3 linked regions of the Oreochromis niloticus genome follow. The protein of the gene in region 3 interacts with the protein of the main gene of each other region in a pairwise test. Links are inferred from orthologs where the notes say so. Each region holds a gene or a part of one and is shown on either strand. Other genes may lie near its edges. The genes, in order: nrf1, pou2f1b and sp4.

Region 1 (7,563 bases), on a different chromosome or scaffold from region 3:
TGTTCTTAGAGTGAAATATGAATGAAAGTGTCATATCATTCAGTGGCCATGACTCTGCAGAGCACCGGTTAAGTTTTCGCAGAGGTTGAGATTTGAGTTAATGGACAGTACTGCAGTGCCCCCTGCTGACCATAGAACACATTTCACCTTTAATAACTTCTCTGCCCCTGGAAAGTTCACTGGGAGAAAAGAATCTATGAGAGAATTTAATTAATATTCTATGAGTTGCTTCAGTCCAATACACAATGCCAAAGAGACTCAGAGCATAACAGTTACTCTGAGCATCTACATATGCACAGGCTATAAGTTTTTGCATTGTGATTCTTGAATTATATTGACTAGCAGACATTTTTAAATTAAAAATTACACCATTTTATACCATATTCTTAATGAATGCTGCCAAAATAGTGCAACAGTTCACTGCTTTATGGACCAGCATTACAACTGCACTGGTTGTACTGACAAAAAAAAAAAAAAAAAAAAAAATGAAAACAACATGCACATATCAAGTGACTAAATGAAGTGGCTGCATAATTTTCTTCCAGATAAAAATAACTGAGACTGATAAGAAAAATATTTTGGAGTTGGTACTGGATTAAAGATTTATTGGGAAGCCCAATAGACCCAAAGAATTTATAGAATGACAATTCAAACTACAAATTTGTGTTTAAATGACAGGAGATCTATTATGCTGTTTTCCAAAATTTCCATTCTTTATCTTTGGACTCTAGTAGCGTGCCTTTTTATGATTCACAGTTCAAAATAAACATGAATCCACTTCAATTATTTGTATAGCCCAATATCACATGTATGGGTTCAAAGGGCTTTTCTGGGGGTAAGGAGGTTGATAAATATATTAAAAAGAGATATTTAACAAATGAACAACCCATTAAAAATGCATATATGCACACCCACAAGTTTATAAACAGCTCATACATAAAAATAAATAATACATAAAGTCCCACAAAAAACAGGGAAAAATATAATGAAGAAGCATGGGTCGTATCTGCCAGACTACTGAATGGAGTCTCACCAAAACTGACAGTGGTATGCTAGTTGAATGCCAGATTTAAAGCGTGTTTTTAACAGTTTCTTGAAATTATTGGTAGAGTGTACTTCTCTAATATTTTGAGGGAGAGGCTGTTTCAGAGTTTGGGGGTATAATGTGCAAAAGCTGCATCCCCAATTTTTCTCTGTGAGGAGTACTGCATAGCCAACAGTTTGGCAGTGGAAGATCTAAGAAGGCAAACTCAGATGTGAAGTGACTAACTGTCAGACCATTTAAGATTTGTTTATATAAATAAAATATTTTTAAATCAATTCTGTAGGATTCTGGAAGCCAGTATCTGCACTAATGTGCTCTCTGTTATTGGTTTCCATTAATACCCTTGCAGCAGACCTCTGAATAAGCTACATCTTACTGAAAGTTGTTTTAGGAAGCCCTGCAAAAAGGGCGTTGCAGTAATCCAGTCAAGTAGAAATGAAAATCATCTTATACTAGGCGTTGATGCAGCCCCTCAGGCCATGCAGTGTCTGAAACAGGTTACTGTAACTTCAAGCCAACTTTCTTCTGATTGGGTCCCCCTCATAAACAGAAAGTTTGAACAGCAGAAGGGTGAGGCTGCTGATACAAGGAAATATCTGATCTAAGAGTATGAATGGTAGCAATGTGTTTGTAAAGCGTCCTCTACAAATAGCACAAGCTTAAACTCTAACATCTGTAAATTGGACCTTTACACCAAAAGGCCCAAAGATGCAAAAGATCTAGTTTACTACAAGGTCATATAGCTTTTTCTGAGCAAATATAACAATTTATGTAAGGACAAACACCTTATTCTTGGAACTATTGTTTCAGCTTTGAAAAAGAAAGTCAATAAAATGCAAAGGTGTTATTACTAAATAATGCTGTAAACAATAGGTATACAGTAGGAGGTCTAGGGGAGAGAGAGTGATTTCACATCCCCGCCATCTTCTCGTCTTCGATAACTTGACCTCTCGACAAAGCTGGTGACGGTCCACACAATTACCTTCAATTATCCTCACTTCCAGCTCACCAATTACATCCATTATTGATTCCAGAGCCCCAGGCTGTAAACCTTATCTATACCTAACCATAGCCCATGATAGAGAAAGCAGAATAGGGCCAAATAACAGCACCTTGCTTCTTCAACATTCTCCAGCTTTTCAGTCCATCTATGTGACATCATCACCTATCTAAAGGATATTGCTTCACACTGCAGTGCCCTTGGGAAACAACTTCTGTGAATGGCATAAAAATTATTTGTCAGCAGTTTCGACTCTGCTAAAATGATCTATGCGCCAGAGTGCAAGTTAGTTAAAAAAAAAAATATGTTTAAATGATCTCCTGAGTCAGAAAACTGAATAAAAGTCCAGGCAAACAATATAGCTAAAGGTTGACTTTTTCACAAAGAAAATTCAACAAATTCTTCTTAAAATTTCAACGCGAGTTGTGTGGAACAGGAAAGAAAACACACCCAATTTTTCTTTCTATATAAATATCCATTGTGAAGCTTTAGGAAACAATGAAAACACATGTCTGTCTGTAGAAAGCAAAGTAAGACAGAGAGGGATGACAGTGAGACAGAGAGGATTGAAGGTCAGCTACACAGTATGGAAGCTGTAAAACGCAGGATCACACTCTGCAGCTCTCCTGCCAGATTTTTTAATATGATACTTGCTGACATTTAGTGAGACACAAACATAAGCTGCTGTCATCACACACTAATGTAAAACATCCATCATCTTGAATACATGCCAGGGCACCTGCAGAGAGCCGTATCAATGATGCCCTACTGCCATCTCCTGTTACAACAAACTTGAAGAGCGCAGCTCCATGACTGATTTGTAATGCAACACTGCCCCCTTGAGGACGTATGAAATTAAATATAAGCGCATCAGAAACTTGCCTCTTTATCCGTTTAGCTCACTTTCCCACCAGAAGGTGTTTAAGATGCCAACTGTGTTTAGGGTTACAGTAATGTCTTAAACTTCATTTTAATATCTGCCACCAATACAGAGAAAGCTGCAGAAAGCTCAGAAGCACTGAATGTCTGGTATTAAAAACAACAAAGAAACCTCATTAATTGGAACTTTATTTTTGAGTTGCACAAAAATGCTTCCATTCAAATGAATAAAAGATTTCTGACAAACAAAATACACAAACTGCATGTTTACCCTGTAGCGTGCATCTTATAGGTTCATGTTTCTTTTGAGTAAGTTTTTGTTGTTGCCGTTTTACAATATTATGATGCATATCTTCCATTTTATTATAAATATAATACTATACTAAACGTAATTATCTATTTTTAAAAATTGCTAACTATTAAGCAAGGCAGTAATCTGATAGACATGACTTAACTGATACTATGAAAATATTTCACTATTTTAAAATCGGCATAGTAAAATTCTTGACAAAGTAATCTGAATTCAAATTTCCTTCGATTTTATCACTGATCTGGGTGGATGACTTTCTGTAATCTGTGTTAACCGGTTCAAATGCTATCCTTTTGCTACTGCCCAATCTTGCTATGTTTCCGCATAAAACTTTGCATAAGTCTCATAATTAAAGTTGTGCAAATTAGTTGTGTATTATTAGGGAAAGAAAATAAACACGAGAAAATGAACAAGTAACAGCTTAGTCAACTAACCTCTTCGAAGAATCTAAAGGCATCTCTATGTCACAGCACCACAGGAGTTGCTAATTACAGTAAATTGGAAATTTTGGTTTGGTCTAGCCTATTGTTGTTGGGGGGTTTTTTCTGTTTGTTTGGTTGGGGGTTTTTTTAATTGTTAATGATGGGGTCTGAGTAGGGGGGTAGCTTTTATTAACACAAAATAAAGATGCTTTAATTTTGTGTGGTTTCGTGTTTGTTTGTTGCCAAACCGGATTAGACCACTTTTGAATAACGACCATCTTCTGGCGCCTGCCGCTGTTGAATAGAAAGGGGCGTGGCTCGACAGGTCTTATGTGGCGTTCATGAGTACAGGAAAAGTTAGGTTTCATTGCAGAATCGTAAACTATGGGCTTAACCGCAATGAAAAAAAGGTCTGTGTTATATTAAACTGGACATTTAGTGACGTCCAGGTTTTCTACACGTGGAAAATCAGCAAAAACTACTTAGTTTGATCTTTTATTTACTGAGATAAACTTTATGTTTCATATTTCCATGCTCCCTTTCATTTTTAATTACTCTTCCCTCCCCAAAAAACATAAAGGCTCTGAAATAAAATCGGATATTTTAACAGTTTTGTAGGGGTTCATTAAAAAATTTCGAGAATTTAAAAACTGACATAATAAAAAGTGAAGTTATGTTTAATATTTCTGTCATGCTGAAACATCGGCAATGAGTTGTTAACTAGAATCAGTTTAAAGAAAACAATGTCTACGAAGTATTTATGAGCGCGTTTGTTGTTGTAGTTTCAGTTCTTGAGTATTACTGTTACGGTTACGCGGCAGGCACTTGAAAGCATCACTAGTGCAGCTCACTGTTGTGTGCGGTCTGTTGGTTGTGTTTGGTGCTGGCTCCCCTCTGTCCTCCATTAAAGCTCGGCTCCATCCCCGCTGTACGGCGCAGGCCCGAAGTAGCGCAGCCGCTCTGAGGTTAGTGCCCTACCGCGCAATCTCCATCTATTTCAGCCCCGGCGCAGCCGCATCATCGAACCCGGCAGCGTTGGGGTGAACGATGCAGATTGTTTAGCTGTTGACTGGAGTCGGATTGTATTTTAAATCTGTTTTTGGGGGGAATCGTAATCTAGGCGCGTATCGACTTCAACCTCGGAGAGAGAAGAATAGCTGAGGATGAGCCCACAGGCCCGGGCCTGTTATGGCGCTATGTTTTTGTGTGATTTTTTGCGCGGGTTTCGTGCTAGCTGCTGCATTACGACGGCTTTCACAGCGCCCTGTAATCGTTTTGTTTAGTGTCTGAACGTGCAAAATAGGTGGCAGAATTCGTGTTATTTTAGACGACCGGCTTTATACCGCCAAATGGTTAGCTAGGCAGCTAATTAGCTGAATGTAGGGCATTGCTAGCTTAGCTCAGTGAAGCAGTCGTTGACAGTAGACCGGCAGATCCGGCTAACTGTACACTACTGTCTGGCACGATCAATTCTTTATCCAGTGCTGTGCAAAATTAAGCTGGTTGCAGGTCACTAAATTGGTTACACATACACATTGTTGTGGAGTTGTGCGTTTCGTGCATCACTGATCTCCTCAGTGTCTAGACTTCATGTACTGCAGCTGGCTATAAATATATTAGACTGAAATTAATGACCTGAATTTCAGTTATATATAATTATTTATTTATTTATTTATTTATTTATTTTTTGGGGGGGGCAGTATTGACGTTCTTGTATGCCACTATAAAAGTTAAAACTGTGTGTGCAGATACATGATTAAAGAACTATTCTATAAATCATCTTTGCACTGTATCAATGAAGCAGGTTATCTACATGAAACGGTCTCCTTTCATTTATTCATAAACCTTTTAACCGCTGTAATTTGATTGATTTGGAGTGAACATAAGCATTATGTGTGTGTTAGTGTGCAATATATGTTTATTTTTCCTCAGCCACACTACAGTGTAACTCCACATACTCATATATCCAGTTTTCCAAATTAATATGGAGTTTCCCATACTGTGACAAAATTTAATTTAAAAGACCCTTTAGTTGGACATGAAATTGTGATTTGTTGTGCTAAGCTATCTATTACTGGGTGGAATGCACATCTTCCAAATTCATCACCTGTAACACCTAACATAAGTGCCCTCTATGGGCAGAGTGAAAGTGGTACAGTCAGACAAGAGTGGAAAAAAATGAATCATTGTTTTCAGACAATACTCTTCCAAATGAAATTCCCTATTAATGCAGTATGACGTCCTCTGGAGGCAGAGCGGCAGTGGTGCACTAAGCACAAGCACAAAGACACCCCAGCATCTTCATCAGACAGCTCTCCCTGTAAAAATAAATGACAGTGGCAGCTGTGCATGGTCACAGTTTTGTCTGAAATATCATAACACTTCCAAATTCTTGGTGCATAGGAATTCATTTAAATGTATAAATAAATATCAGCATATTGTCTTGTTAAGATAACATATCATTATTCGTTAAATTTGATGTACTTTGATCACTTCCCTCTTTTTTTCCTCAGTAACTGTACTGTGGACCTAGCTGTGTAGACCAGCTGGCTGATAATGGATGAGCACTCCGTTCACCAGGCAGAGCACATGACCACAATTGAGGCTAGCGCTGTCAGCCAGCAGGTGCATTTACAAGCATAATAAATGGTGTAAATTAGAAACAAATTTACTGATATTAATCACTCATCTTGTTAAATTACTGGCCCAGATCAGAAATCTTAACGCCCCACTATAGTCCCAGGTTCATTCATTCATTGATTCGTGTATAGGTACATGTGACCACCTTGACTGACACATCCATGATGAGCGCTGAGGAAGACTCGACCTCCTCACCAGATGACGATCCTTATGATGACACAGACATCCTCAACTCGGCTGGCACTGATGAGGTCACAGCTCACCTGGCTGCTGCAGGTGAGTCTAAACTCTGTGCTGTTTCCAGAGTGTGTTAGTTGGGTCTGACCAAAGTTACAAGCAGAAGTGCTTCACGACCTGTAGACTTGTGTTGATAATCATTATTAAGGTTGCAAAGTTTGTGGCAAATTAGACAGTCAACTCCTTACAACAGACCATTTTTTTGTTTGTTTTTTTAATTCTTCTTAGCATCTGTGTTTAATTATACAAGCCTGGTAAATCCCATAACACCATAATTTAAGCAAAATGCTTTCAGTTGAGCAACAGGTGGCGCCAGTGGATTAGTTGTGTAGGCAGTGTTGCCTTCTGTCAAGCCTCTGCCATGTTTTGAGGGGGTTTTTTTCATCTTAAAGTTGGCATGATTTGAAATTAAATCGGTGAAGTGCTACTTCAGGTCTTTTTAAAAACATACTTTATATTAAAAAAGAGAAAGAACAATAAACAGTAACAACCGCATGGGCTGTGTATTTAAAAGCTCAAATCAGAGAAGGAAAATACTTTGTCTCTTTTTACCTTTGCTAAAATCTCTCCCTCCTCCTCTTTCTTTCAGGGCCAGTGGGTATGGCAGCTGCTGCTGCCGTAGCAACTGGGAAGAAAAGAAAAAGGCCTCATATCTTTGAATCCAACCCTTCCATCCGTAAGAGACAGCAGACTCGTCTCCTCAGGTGAATCTAATAGCTTTTCTGTCAGCAGCTACGGTGACCAAAATATCCCTCGCTCAGCTCCTAGGGTAGAATTGTTGTTGTGCTTTGTAGCTTTTAATCTGAACACAGAAGTAAAGGATGGTGTTTGTTAACAGGAAACTGCGAGCCACGTTGGATGAGTACACCACCAGAGTGGGCCAACAAGCCATAGTGTTGTGCATCTCCCCCTCCAAACCCAACCCTGTGTTCAAGGTGTTTGGTGCTGCTCCTCTGGAGAATGTGGTAAGTCTTATAAATAGAGCAGGTAGAAAGCATTAGTTTGTAACACAGTGAAACTTACCATCACA
Region 2 (7,842 bases), on a different chromosome or scaffold from region 3:
CAGGTATCTGGTTCAGTTCTAGTCAGAGACACAAATCCTCCTTGGGGTTATGTCAGGAAAGGTGTCCAGTGGAAAACTCATGCTGTGACAAGGGAATAGGTGAAAGTAGCTTTATTTGGACACCTTTTGACTATATTAATAAAACTGAACTGAACTGAACCAGCTGAAATGGGAATTGTAACAGCCCAGCCATCGTGCCAGAATGTTTTAATTTATAATTTAAACACTTTTAAGCTGTCCAACAATTTTAGGATTTAGATACCAAACTATGAATACTATTTGAATGTGCTGAACATTTAATTAAATTCCTACATGTTGTAATATCAGTAAATTAAAAATGCACACAAAAATGTGCAGAGCATGTGAATTGACCACTATGATTATTACAGTGCATCCACCCTGTTACTGTGCAAAACAGTGACACGGGTCGTCAGTAACACAGAAGATGTTTTATGATTTTTTTTTGATCATGTGGCGCACAACAGAAAAGCACATCAAAACTACAAAAAGGTTTTTGTTTTTTTTTAAAAGTGTGTCCACCATATCAAAATATCAACTATGATCACTTTATTCTGGAAATAAATGTAACAGAGTGGACATTTTGCACTTCACTACCTCTGTGAACCATTCTGAAATATGGCGGGGAGGAAGGTTGCGCAAAGATTGATACTTACTCTGACTCTTGCAAAACTCCCTCCAATAACATTTTACTACTTCCTGTGAGTCATATGACTAGAGGAACAGTTAACTAACCTGATCAGAAGGACTTCTGTAAATGTAACAGGAGGGACAGTTTATGGATATAACCTATTTTTAAAAAATTGAAACATCCTGGTTTGTATTGATAGCAACGATAGTTGTTGGTATAGAACATTATAAATAAGGCTGTGGATAAGTAATGGAAATTGTCTTAATTTTATAACATATTGATAACTAAAACCGAACAAACATGTTTAATTAAAAATCTGAGTGATTATTATAAAAAATATTTCGGATACATATAATTGTGTTAGATGGTAGATGAGGGTTGATAATTTAAGCCATTAGAAAAAAGTATTGACTAGTACTGACACAAAATGCACTAGATTCTCTCATGAGAATTTCACTAAATACTAGGAATGACCCATTTACTTCTATTAGTGAACATTTTCCTGCTGGTGCTGTTTGACAGTTTAATAGGAGTCAGAATAAATTAAGTATAAAATACTCAAGTAAAGCTGAAATCTAGTTGTGAACAATAAAACAAACTGAGGGGGAATAAATCCAGAGCAAAAACTTTCCAAGACAAATAAGGTATTATTTCTCAGTAAGTAAATTATTGATTTTTCTGTTACTGATTAATCAGCTGAAGCAAAAATGTTTTTTCAGAGCTGCCTATATACTATATGCTAACAGTGTCAAACATGCGGGCCAGAATCGGCCCAGCAAAGGCTGAACTCCAGTCCACTGGACAGGTGAAGGAGTGCATAGATTTTTGATTTTTGATTTTTATTTTTTTTTTACAGGTTCTCTTATTGATAAAGTCTCCTGCCATTAAAATTAATACTACACCAAAGCAATTAAGTACCAGATAAACAATTACAATAATTTGGTTGGTTGGTTTTTTACAGTGAGCTCACAGAAAAAGGACAATCAGCATGCAGCACGAGCATATGACAAGCATAACACTTTAACCCACTTTAAACAACAGAAAGTACAAGTTTTTCTGATTTGTCACCACTTTGCGAGGTCTGGAGGAAGAGCCAAACTGTCACTCCCAGAGGAGAGGGAATTGGTTATGATGTTTAGGAACCACCCAAGAAGCACCAAGGCTCAAACCTGCCATAAACTAGAAAATTCCCGAACAGCGGATTCACTGTCCTTTGTGAAGCAAGTTGTACAAAATCGCGAACTGAGACCAAGAAAGAAGCCCCTGCTCCAAAATCAGCACCTTCAAACTCAGCTGAAGTTTGCAGCTGCCCACATGGAAATGCCTTCTTGAGAAATGTTTTATGATCAGATGAGGCAAAGACTGAGCTACTTGGCTACAATAACAAGAGGTATGTTTGAAGGAATATGAATGAGGCTTTCAAACTTTGTTTCAAACTGTAGCATCGTAATGCGGGGCTGTTTTGCTCTCAGTCGCACTGGTACGGTGCACAAAGTGACGTCGAGCCGTCAAACATCAAACCAATTTGAGCCTAAACATTAACACCTGAAAAGCAGTCCTGTTTACGTATTAATCACCAGGCAATGTAGCACAAAAACAGATGAAAGAGGCAAAACCTTGTGTCATAGCCAGGGGTTAAAGTTAGCACAACACCGGAACACCTGCAGATGTCCATAAGCTGCAGTTGTAGGCCTTCAACATCTAGCTAGCCCTACAAAAGAGGAGCGAGAAAAAACATAAAGGGAGTGATGTGTTTGTTTTTAAGTGGCAGGTCATTTAAAATGCAGCGTTTCTATTAGCTCAACAAACATAATTAAACACGCAAACTGTGTCTAATAGTTTGTCGCACGGTGTGTTGCTAGCTTAAATGTGTTTACAGGGATAGAAAAAAATGAGAGCTAACTTCACTCGGTGATAGAAAGAGGGAGAAGGGAGGTCATAATAAAGGTGAGGACCGCTCAGTGGTAAATGTAAAGTCCTCATGTTTTTATTGGGTCTGTACATGTCACATGTTTTTTTTCATGTTGTGAAACGTGCTGCACAACAACCTGTTGTATACTATTTGTGCTATTTAAAGACTGCATGAGAAATCTCTGCAGGTTAGCGCAGGATAAACAGGTTAGTTTGCAGTACTGTGGTTATTCACAGTAAAGGACTGTGTGTGACTGGTGGACAGTGGCTGTGGCTTCATGGTCAGAGTTAGATCACATCAAGTGTAGCAGAGATGAATTTGAAGTTAAGCTGATGTTACTTAGATTCACTCGCTGAATTCCACCGTTATACCAACTTTATAGTGTCTTATGGAGAACTTATGAAACATCTGCCTACATCTTGTTGAATTCAGGTGAGAGCAGTAAACCTCAGAGCAGCACAGGTCAGCTGATCACAGCCTGTACACAAAGAAAATCTGCTGCAGCTCTCAATAGAAATTATTCTGAGTTGTGAGTCACTAAAGCCAGTAAAACTGATTTTAGCTTGGTCCCTTTATTAGAATTAAATTTAGATGGAAATAAAGTTTGTTTCCTATATACTAATATTATTTAATTATTACATTATTACATTATTATACATATAGCACAACGTTCAGTGAGGTTTCAAAAAAAAAAATAGCTGGTGTAAATGAACTTTTACTTTCTTACTTTGAGTACATTTCAGAGCCTGTACTTTTACTTGAGTAAAGAAGTTGCTTCATTACTTTTACTGGGGTATTTTTAACACTAGTATCTGTACTACTTAAGAAGATTTCAGCATTATTAAATATATGTGGACTATGCTTAAAAGCCAGGTCCGTGCCAGGAAAACAATGATTTTAAATGAACTCTATAAATTCTGATGAGCGGTCAAATATCCAACCACAAGCTTGCTTATGGCAATCAAAATCATCTGGTCAAGGTGCAAGATGCTAAGGGAGATTTCACCAAATATTAGTGGGGGTGTATGTATTTAAGGATGAAGACTTTTGACCCTGTGGGGATTCAAGAAAATCCAAAAATAAATTCAAACTCGTGTAGCCAATTTTTATTTTTTCAAAGTCAATAAAGATCTATGCTTTACCCTGGAAAATGAAAAGTGCAGAGAAGCCAGTAAAAGCTCATTCATCCCCGTGTTCGATGTATGTAAATGTCTGACCACAATTGTAGATATGACAGTGTGTAGTTGTCTGTTTCTTTATATTAGGCCTGTGATGGACTGTCAGCCTGTCCAAGAATACCTCGCTTTTCACTTTACAACACCTGGGGTATACACAAGCCCTCCATGACGCTGGATGGAGGGATAAAATTATAACATTAAAAACTGAAATAGTGAATTTCAGAGGCGCAACACTTTTTTAAAAGCCATCAACAGTTATATATATTAAAAACCCCCATCCGTTTTCATGACGGATGAAAACCGTCATACTCCTGGTATATTCTGATATATATCCTGGTATAGATCAATGGACAACATGCAGGAAGGGGTGGGGATATAAGGAAATGTGTTCTTGATTTACATGTTTACTTTTTCCATAAATAAACAGAAACAGCAATGATACCAGAGACAGTAAGCAAATATATGGAAAAGAAAAAGTCTATTCGAATAAGACTATATGAACATTAAACATCATTATCAGGGCACGCATGACAACAAAGCAATACAATCATTGTTCTTCTGTTGCTTCATGCTTTGTATATGTTTTTGAAATAAGATGGTCTAATCAATGTTTTGCTGCAACACATGCAGACAAAGCATCAATACAAGTTCATAAATCCCCAGTAAATAGCAATACAATATTTCTCCTGGTATTTCTGTGAAATAGTCTGAGTCATAGATTAAGATGACTGTGGTTGTCACACATTACGCATTTTTCTAAATTCCTCGGGGTATATTTTGTTTTATTTGACTTTTAAGTGGTGAGTCAAACCAGCATAAATGGCTCTGGGCAATTTTCAGGGCTAGTGTTGATAGTGTTTTCCGCGATAATACTGCGCAGGTCCGCTGGGTGATCCGCCCATGGCCTGTTCAATTCAAAAATTATTGTGTAAAGAAAACAAGATGCCTGTTTAAGTATGTAAATAAGCCACAGCTCACAACACGCTCCACTATCCTCAGACCAGGTCCCTGAGCGCATGCGGGAATCCATGAAAACGTGCACGTGCATTTGTGTATGTGTATATGTGCGAGTGTGAGTGTGTGTCAGGGCTGGGATTTCGGGTTAAATATTCAAAATGGCGGACGGAGGAGCAGCGAGTCAAGATGAGAGTTCAGGAGCAGGTAATGATTACAGCATTTTACATATTCATACTCATATTCAAACTGTGTTACTCACAATTTATGATAACGGTATACTGATGAAATGCAGATTGATTAGCAGATAAGGGCGATATTAGGCGCTGCTTTAGTTTACACACAGCTAGCCAACTGTAATTTGACAGAGGAGGAAACGAGCCTTTGCAGTGCGACGGCAAATTACATGGAAACATGCCTCCCCCCCTTTGTGTGATTAGACGGCTGTACGCCGCTACATATTCATACCTCTGTCGACAAATACAATTTAGCATATTTTATTAGTAATCGCCATCGTGGCTCTGGTTCATGTATGACATATTTAGACCTTTCACGAACGCTGTTTGATTGAAATGATTATGCTAGCTGGCTAGCGTTAGCTGCCGTGCTAGCGCTTGGCTTTGTGTTGATGCACACACCGAAGCTTTTGAAACGGGTTTGCATATTCATTTTAGCCGAGTCGGGCAGCGGCTGCGCTCGTATGTTTTCAAAGGGTCGTTTATAAGGGAGGAGGGTGTTATTTAATCAAACTGTAGCAGACCTTCCCTTTGTTAAAGACACACGGAGTCAGCTCGGAGTGCTTGTGCTCGACGTGATTTTTATAGCGGAGCGTTTTGCCCCAGCCTTTTGTGTGCTCGGCGCAGCGGAGCCACGGCAGAGCCTGTTGTGTTATTCATGCGGGGCCTGCCTGCCTGAGCCACACTGTGCGGAGTTCAGCGCGTTACAGCAGTCGACGAGGAGCACACAATAAATGCATGTCAACACAACACCGTGTCACGACGCCGAATGACTTTTCAAATGAGGCCTCCCGTGTTTCATTTGAATACGGCTGTCCTCCGAGCGGCTAACTGGCTACAACTTGCCAGCCGTTTATCGGCTAACTTTACGTACACGGCGATTTTATTTGTTATTTTTTTAAGTTTAGGTCAGATACATATATAGTGAGATGTTGAGATGAATGTGTTTGACATATTTGTTTCGGAAGTTAAACAGTTCGAAAGTTGGGTCGAGCACTTTTTTAAATTATTATTATTTTAAACTTGAGGTGGGAGTAGTCTGGCATCGGGTTGGTCCTGGTCTGCCAGGCGAACTAATCCATCTCATTACAATGTATAATTTATTTGTGCAGCTTTTAATTGCGCCTGACGTAACGGTTTTGAGAACCGGGCTTGTACGCGTCATGCGTGTTTGTTGCTGGAGTTTTTGGGCTGAATTCAAAGATTGTACCTGTGTATCCCCTACCCGCCACCCCTAGGCACAGGGAGGGGTGGTGAGGCCCACTTCCGGAAGGCCACAGTAATAACAGGCAGGGCATTCTTATTATTCACTCTGCTGCTTTCATGGCCGGGCAAGACACAGCTTGATGGCACTTTTTTTCTCCTTTAGTCCATGTAGCTGAGCTTGCTGTTTAGTTTGTTTTAAAGAAGCGTGTCTGAGGTCTGTTGTAGTAACAGTAAAGAGCAGGTAATTATCTTTGCTGTTCAACTTTTTATATTTCAGAAAATGCGCCAGAAAAGCCATTGTGTGACACATCAGGTGTGTTTGTGTGTCCTTGAGTTTTTTTCTTTTCTTCTTCTTTTTTTTAAGTGGTGTAACCGACTCATTATCTTATAATTACAGAGGAACGTATTAATGTCTCTTAGCAAGTTAAAACAAGGTTTGGGTTTGCTTTTTTTGTTAAGGATTCTTGAATAAGATTGAATTCTTTCCGATGTAGATACACTCATTTCAAACTTTGCCCACATTGTTAGCAACTTTATGCGCACACAGGCATTACAGGCAGTGTCCTTATATATTGCAAGACAGTTATGAATCTAAAAGATATAGATTGTTTGAGAAGAAAGGCCATAAATGGTTTAATATTCAAAATAATGCTCAAAGTGTTACATTCTAATGTGTCTGTTAGCATTTCGACTGTCTGGAATTGGCTTAGATTGCATTTAAAAAAAAAAAAAAAAAATCTTGCATATTAAACTTGGGCACTTAAGAACATGCGAGAAGTAATTCTGTCTTCCTCACACTCAGTCTACTTTTCTCATTTAATCAGTTTTACAGTTCCACCCTCATTCCAGCCTTGTAGTTCCATCATGAATATTCATTGATGTAAACACAGTTGTTATGAATAATGCATCATTTGCCGTAATAAATTCAGGACATGCCATCTCAAAGTACTGAGAAGGCCTCCATGAAAGCTCCAGTCAGACGACTTTTTTTTTTTTTTAATGGAGGAAAATTATAACCAAAAAAAGAGCTCTTTTGTGTCCTCAGGGTTGTAACTACTTGTTTTGTTTTTAGTGATCTCTGGTAAAGACAGCAATTCCTTATTAAACAGTGCAGCAAGGTAAAGCAGATGTTTCCAGCTGGTCTTTATGTGTAAAAACGGAGGCTTTTTAAGACAAACAACACACTAATTTGGAAGATTAAATCAGACTCTATATGCTGAAGATTTGGAAGTAGTCACATTGTTCCTGATGATGACTGTCATGTGCTTAACATAATTAAGATCACTAGTACTAGTAAACATTTGTATTTCATTAGAACTTTTTTTTAAATGCTGCAAACACGATATAATGCAAGGCACGTTAAGAAAACAGAGGCCTTTTGTCTGAAAATATCCAGACTGAAATATCGTTGCAATAATGCCCGTCCTTTAAATAGATGAGATTAAAATGTTGGCTTGAGTCAACAGTCAGGAAGCTGGATACATTTTTTTTTTTTTTTAAAGGAAAAAGGCTGCACTGTTTTCCTATTAGACAAAAGTAAAACACACAACACATTAATAATCAAATGTTCATGCATGTGCTGTTTTCCTAAGTGGTGAATGTGTGTCTGAATTCAGACTGTAGTACTGGTTCATGTGGCTAACCTCTGTACGTGCCCATTTGAAGTAGCTGAGTTGTTGTCCCTGAGAAACTTCACTTTAATTTGGT
Region 3 (7,241 bases):
AAAGTGAAAAACAGCACAGCAAATGTGAAGTCTGCCTTTCATCAGAAAGAAAGAAACTCAAGCTGAACTGCAATAATTACATTAAAGGACACAAGAATAGGCTCTTGAGTATTTTCTATGATGCAACAACAACAGTAGCAACAAATTTTATAAACACAAATTCAACAAAGCTATGTGTTGTTAAACTATAGTGCAATTAAACTATAGTGTAATTAAATGTTAATGTGTTATCAACCAGATGTTTTTTTTGTTAAATATAAGATAAGCGTTTGTGTTGTTTTTGGTCAGCAGTGATTTTTACATTAGAACTCTTCCATAAATGCCATTTTTGCCCAGTCTCTTTCTTATTGTTGAATCAAGCACTCTGAGCTTAGCTGAGGCAAGTGAGGCCTGCACTTCTTTAAATTATCTTCTGGGTTCACTTGGAGTAATTTTGGTAGGCTGGCTTAGAAGGTTCACCACTGTTCCGTATTTTCTCTCTGGTTATCTCTGTCTAATATGAACATTTGTTTGATGATTTAAAACTAGTCAGTGTGACAAATATGCAAAAAACTAAGAAATCAACAAGGTCGCAAACACTTTGTTCATGGCTCCGTATAACAACAGAAAATAAATAAAAGGACCATAAAAGGACCCTTCAGAAAACCTTTGACTTTACCTGCAATGCAGAAGTTTGACTTGCAACGGATTCTTTTTAAATAACTTTTTTTTCATTGTAAGAAATCTCAACAAGTCTTTTGTGGAAACAGCTGCAAGGACGAGTACACAATCTGTCGTCCTGACTGGTACATGGCGCCATCTAGTGGTTGCAGCTGTTCACAAATGAAACTATCAGTTGTAACCTGTTCCCATCATGAATTCCTTTAGCTGTAATGTTTATTATCTATTAGCTGATATTTTATTTATTTATTTGTTTATTTATTTATTTGTCTTTTAGTGAGCATAAAGGGATGCTACATTTTGCAGGAAACTCAATGACTTTTAGACAAATATGATAAATACAACTTTAACGAGGATTGAACCTGCTGTAAATTAAAGCCTTATTGTATCATAGAGTTTTACTGCAGTGGATATTAGTTTTTCTGTTAGCAGGATATTTATCTATCCCAGAGAACAGCCTTCTTTCTACCACACCCCCTTCCATCACCACCACCTTACATACATATATAACAACACCCCTTCTTCCGAGCAGACCTCGTTGCCTAGCAACGCCCTGCCGAGTGGCCCAGAAGGCGGGAACAAGGGCCGTGGCTTCCGCAGTAATTACAGTGCATGTGCATGTATGTTTCTAGGCCAGCCCAGGTATGTTTTCCTGTGAACATAGTTTCATTATGAAAATATGTTTAGACTGCAGTGTTTCCCCAAATACAATGACACAAACAAACACAATAAAAATCTTTGAAAAAAGGGGAAACGAAACCACATAAGCATAAAGTGTATGAGCATGCTACAAGAACAAAGTTCTTAAAATCTCTTTAGGCCTTTAAGTGTGAAAAGTCTCATTCATGAGATATGTCTCAGCATTATGATAATCAAATGTGAAAGGCCATGTTAAGAATATCTATGGGATTACCTGTTACATCCATGCTGGACACACAGGGACTAAATTGATCAAATGCAAGCTACATGCATGGACAAGGCTGAAAGACTCGCTCTAGTGAAAATTGTGTTTTTTACAGCGTTAACGTGTGAAAGCCACGAGGAAACCAACCAGCTGATATTACAGCTGAACAGTTCCTCCTTAGGACTGCAGCATGGTAATGACAGTCTCAGATACGTTGGTTTATACCATCAGGGTTTCAAAGTTAGGGAAGCAGTAACCTCTTAGTGGCTGTGTGTGGGCGATGAGGAACAAAGCTGAAGGCTTATGATATCTTTTACCATTTAAGATAGATATAGAGATATATTAAACACATTCTGACACGTAAAGCAATTGGCAACCTTTTGCTGAGAATTCAGCTGTGCTAATAAACAGCTGTTTCCTTCAGTCATTTTGTTTTATGCTAGCCTAAGTTAACAACCCCTTTAATGTCCCATTGGATCATTGATGCACGCTGCTAAACAGGCTACCTAACCAGTGCTAAACTTATTTTATAACTAAGATGGCAACAAAAAAGCCAAGCACGATGCTTAATCCTACTGTATATTTGTTCTTTTTTCAATTTTCTCTTCTTTCTCAACAACGACTTCTGATTGTTACATATATTGCAATAGTTTTCAGAGTTTGAGCAGGTTTGTTTAACTTACAGGCACACACCAGATAGGCTGGTGAAGACACGTGAGACACTTATTTACACATTTAGAGGTCTGTGCATACTAAGATGATGCAAAGGTTTAGGGCTACCTATGCACGTTTTCCTCATTTAGGCACATGAAGGCATAAAAGTATCATGTTCAGGGAAACAACTTATTAACACGTCAATTAGAGATGAGTTGTCACGTTTTTAATTAATACTAGATATGGAACTTCTATACCATCCTGTCTGAGTGTTTATGATGTTATGTTGGGGTGAGACACTGAGACAACTGCATTGCCTTGGCTGCCAGTCTATAAGCCTAAATATTTCCCCTGTGGGCCAGAGCCATATCCTCAGTTGGCCTCTTGCTAATGATGTTTTCTGCTTAGTGAACCAGGGCTGTGACTGGCTAAAGCCACGGAGAAACCCATACAGGCCTAAAGGCCCTCATACAGGCCTTCTGCTTCATCACAAACCTCTACTTCTCAGATGCATTAAAACCACACTGTTCAGAAGTCTGAAAGAGGTTTTGTCACTAGAGTGACAGACTTGACTTCTGTTTCTATTTAGACACTTAAGTGCAGCTGTTGTTCCTCGGCCTGAAACCACCCCAGATGCATTTACAGAACAGTAGTAACAGTGTCACTTTATGGGATAAAGTTATCATGCCAGGCTGATTCTTATTTCGTGGACAGTTCCTGAATGCTAAAACAGATGGACTGTTTATGTATTATTAGTCTAAACAGAAAACAGTGTGTATTGTTGCTGGATGATATAAGCAACCAGCTTCTACAAAGTCACTTAATGAACAAAAAAATAATGACTATATTTACTGTGATTTAATTAGTAGATGATTTTTTTTTAAATGCATCAGCTGTTAAGATTCTCAGCATTCTTTTAAACATCTGTGGTTTATGGCATGGGATGTTAGCCCTAACCAACAGGCTAAACTCTGTAAACATGAACATATTAGCATCAGAGGAGTTGGAATCAGCTATTTTTGGGGGACCAAATTGGGGGAAATAATTATTTGATCCCCTGCTGAATTTGTAAGTTTGCTCACACTTGAAATCTTGTAGCGGCATCAAGGTACCCAAGCTTAAGTCACATATAGCACTTTTCTACTTTCCTAGAGCACTCAGAGCGCTTTATACAACATGCCACATTCAGACTCAGTCACAGAAGCACTTTTTTCTATGCTTTTAAGTGCTTCCTACCTAACATTCACACACACATTCATACTCCGATGCATTGGAGAGCAACTCGGGGTTAGTATCCAAGTAGTCTCTCTCCATGATAAAACTTTCATAAAAATTAGAGACTGTTTATTTCTTTGCAACTGACCAAACTTACACATTCAAATACAAATTGTTCAAAAGGATCAAATGATTGTTTCCCCCACTGTAAAAAATACTATTGATTGGCAGAATGAAGCTATAATGCATATCCCAAAAGTTCAATTTGTCTGAAGAAGCATTTTTGTTGAACTAGCCAGTCAGAATCAACATATTCAATTCACAATTGCATAACAACAGCCAAACACACACACACACACACACACAAATCTTGTACAAGTGTGAATTTCCTAAAGCCTCTGGCAATGCAATGATGTAATTTTCTACTACATAAGATCTAAAGTTGTCAACAAGGGGAAAATATACGAGGTAAATAAATAGAAGTACATCAGCTTAGAAGCAACACTGTTGCATTTTCACCTTTTAAATGATTTCAAAATAATTAAATCATTTGTTTCCCTGATTATCTTATCTTTTTAATCGTTACTGACATTCTGAAACTGACACGCGCACACAAAACACACGGGCGCGCGCGCACACACCTCCTTTCCCGTTTGCCCAACCCCCCACAACACAGAAGTCACCGCCCTTCCCTCTCGCTCTCACACCAACATGACTACCGACACCGCCGCTCCGACGAGCCGGAGCATCACGGGAGTTGTAGTCCCGCTCGCGCTAGCCAGTTCGAGAAGGCGAGGCCTCACCAAAATACAACTCCCATCTCGACCCTCGCACGCCGAGCCCCGTCGTCCAATCTGAATATGTGGGAGGAGCGCGTCCGCCCACAAAAGCCACAGCTATCTCCCTGTATCCCCCCCTTAAAAAAATCAATTGTGCACGAAAAAAAGGGGAACACGCTTAAAATACCAACACAGGTGACGGTTTGTTTTCGGCGCGCGACGGACAGCGACGAGGCGTCCCCGCGTCGTGCGGCGTGAGAAACAGCGGTGACAGGCAGGAGCTGCGAGGAGGGTGTTGTCCTGATGCTTAAATGGAAGTGGGTGGGCCTCTACGGTCACACACTGCCAACTTCTCTGTGGATATCACTCTGACAAGCGCCAATTTGCTCGTTTATGGACTGTCTATCCGGTAAAGGAGTCATACGACGGATCTGTGAGGTGTCCGGCGGACCGGGGACGGTCACCGCTCTCTCTGTTATTTCCGTTATTTGGGGCTGTTTGATTGTTCCTGCGCTTGGCACCGCCCTTCCTGGCCGGTGGGTGGTTTCGTCAAACGGGCAGATCCGCCACGGCTCAGAGCCGAACATATAGGCCGTCCTCCGCCTGTGTACCCGGCCGGCCTTCTACCGTGAACTACACCCTCTCCCTCTCGGTATATTAATGCGTTATGAGTGGTAGGTACCCTCCCCCTCCCCGTCTCCACCCCTCTTTCCCTCTTTCTAGCCGTTTGACAGATAGGAAGCTCAATGCCCCTTTGATATTGATGATAAGGTTACTGGTTTCTCTTCTGTCTATATTGATCACCTCTGTGATGCCATATATGCTATTTTTTTGCTTGGATTTTATTTGCAGCATGCAGTGCCCCGTACAGTGCTCGGGACTTTGTAGTACTCAGTAATACCCAAGTGATAATATTATAATAGAAAATATTCTAACATTTCTTCCTCTTCCTCACAGACTCGAAGAAGGAATCATCTGGAACTGAAGGAGGGAAAGCATCTAAAAGGGGGAAAAGTTCTGGATCACAGGTAAAAGCAAGGAGACAGGAGTTTATTATAGTTCGTTACTTTTCCCTTGCCTGTAGGCCAAAAATGTACTCCCTCCCTCCCAGCCCAGCCAGCCAGACACCTCTGGGGGCGTTTCTCTGGTGAATTCCACTTCCTGCTTCTGTGCAGCCCTACAGTGAGCCAACCCAGAGCCTCATGAATAGGCTTACACGGCTGTCACACTTCAGCCGCTATACTTTTTGAACTGTCTGTTTGAATTATGGTCAGAATGATTTAATTCCGCACGTGGATATTATTGAAAGACCTGCAGCTTTGCTTAAGTGGCCCTGAGACTGTGACACTTCTCTCTGCAGCAGGTTGTATACATATATATCTTTGAGATTATTTTTGAGCCAGGCAGCTGTTCTTGAGCGCATCTTATTGTCATTAAATGTGCATGACGAGCATCGCTGCTGTGTTAATTTTCCTGCTCTTGTAGTTGTTACAAAATCTAGGCTGTTTCCCCGTGCACTGTTGTGAGGTGTTGAGCATTAAAAATTTGCCTGCGACCTAGTTCCTTTGAAAAGGGAGGAGAGAGAAGGCGGCATTTTCTTCCAGTGTTCTGAGAAAAGAGAAATGTGGTTCTCACACGCCCACCCACTCGCTTCCTGTAATACCGCCCACTTCCACTGACAGCTCTCTCTCTCGCTTTCACTCAGCTTTTTGTGTTTCTTTTTTCTGCACCATGTTATTTCCCACCCCTTGCTCTTTTTCCTTTTTCTCTTATTCATTTAAAATTAATCATTGCGTGAGCGTTTGCAATGATACCTGCTATCATCCCCGGCCTTAAGTTTTTTTTATCTTTACACATGTACTCTTTTGATTTGTTTGTGTTTGCGTACAAGCTGTTAATGTATGTTTCTAACCCTGACTCCCTTCTTATCCTTCCTTCCCCTGTCACTCCTATTTTCCCTATCACCCTTCTCACCCCTCCCATCCATCCATCCATTACTCCTCCATCCACTTTCCTCCATCGTCTCCTCTAGGATTCTTCTCAGCCCTCTCCATTGGCTCTGCTAGCAGCCACCTGCAGTAAGATCGGAGGGCAGGGGGGAGCAGAGGGGGCACAGGCCCAAGCAGGGGCCCAGCAGATCCAGGTCCAGGCTGGTCAGATCCAGTTGCAGGCGGGACAGATCCAGGGTCAAATAGTGGTGGACACGGCTGGGGGTCAGGCCTTAGTGCCCCAGCAGCTAGAACTGGTCCCGGCACAGTTCACAGGGAACGGCTGGCAGATCATTACAGCAGCGCCTACTATGGCCAAGGAGAACACCAGTCAACCTGTTGCTGTGACCGTGGCCACCACCTTGGCTAATGACAGCTCACCTGGTGGACGTAAGGTGAGGGGAGTGGTGTGTTTGTGCAAATGTTTTTTATTAATTTTTAATCCTTGTCCATATAACTGAATTACTGCTCCCTTCCTGTTGGGCAGGTAAAGGCAGTAGGTGGGACCAACAGTGTCGCAGCCAATCAGCAGCAGCAATTTCAGATCATCCAGGTTCAGAACCTGCCCAATGCTGGAGCAGGAGTCCAGTATCAGGTCATCCCGCACTTGCAGACTGCAGATGGACAGCAGATCCACATCAGCCCTCAAACAGCCTCCATCGGGGCCGTTCCCGAGCAGGTTCAGCTCATCCAGACTCCGAGTTCGGGCCAGACCCAAGCTATCATTCAACCCACCAACCAGCAGGCCATCCTGACGAGTACAGCCAATCAGACGGTTCCACTGCAGATCCGTCCTGCGCAGTCATTCCCACTTCAGCTGCAGACTCTGCAAGGCTCCCAAACTCCTGTCATGACCACAGTACCTATAAACCTTGGTGGCATGACCCTGGCTTTGCCTGTGATCAATAATGTTGGAGGGGGTGGAGCTGTGCAGCTTATCCAATCAGCAGATGGCACATTCTCTGTTGCTAATGGCAACCAGCTGGTGACAACAGCTGTGTCAGGGGCGGCTCCTACCACAGCTGCAGCTGGATCAACAAC

What was found.
Region 1: the proteins of sp4 (region 3) and nrf1 interact in binary tests that used the Homo sapiens proteins (3 or more experiments, as listed by UniProt). The two-hybrid records come from large-scale screens. The link is inferred for Oreochromis niloticus from reciprocal best matches to the Homo sapiens genes SP4 and NRF1.
Region 2: the proteins of sp4 (region 3) and pou2f1b interact in binary tests that used the Homo sapiens proteins (3 or more experiments, as listed by UniProt). The two-hybrid records come from large-scale screens. The link is inferred for Oreochromis niloticus from reciprocal best matches to the Homo sapiens genes SP4 and POU2F1.

What each region holds. Positions count from the first base shown.
Region 1 is NC_031981.2:11,025,672-11,033,234, reverse strand, and holds the start of nrf1 (nuclear respiratory factor 1), read left to right. Parts: upstream 1-4,480; 5' UTR 4,481-4,621; intron 4,622-6,169; 5' UTR 6,170-6,212; coding exon 6,213-6,281; intron 6,282-6,427; coding exon 6,428-6,572; intron 6,573-7,122; coding exon 7,123-7,237; intron 7,238-7,371; coding exon 7,372-7,498; intron 7,499-7,563. UniProt on the Homo sapiens protein: Transcription factor that activates the expression of the EIF2S1 (EIF2-alpha) gene. Links the transcriptional modulation of key metabolic genes to cellular growth and development.
Region 2 is NC_031987.2:21,331,121-21,338,962, reverse strand, and holds the start of pou2f1b (POU domain, class 2, transcription factor 1b), read left to right. Parts: upstream 1-4,777; 5' UTR 4,778-4,854; coding exon 4,855-4,900; intron 4,901-7,842. UniProt on the Homo sapiens protein: Transcription factor that binds to the octamer motif (5'-ATTTGCAT-3') and activates the promoters of the genes for some small nuclear RNAs (snRNA) and of genes such as those for histone H2B and immunoglobulins.
Region 3 is NC_031985.2:23,769,491-23,776,731, reverse strand, and holds the start of sp4 (transcription factor Sp4), read left to right. Parts: upstream 1-4,142; 5' UTR 4,143-4,879; coding exon 4,880-4,886; intron 4,887-5,169; coding exon 5,170-5,240; intron 5,241-6,244; coding exon 6,245-6,595; intron 6,596-6,687; coding exon 6,688-7,241. UniProt on the Homo sapiens protein: Binds to GT and GC boxes promoters elements. Probable transcriptional activator.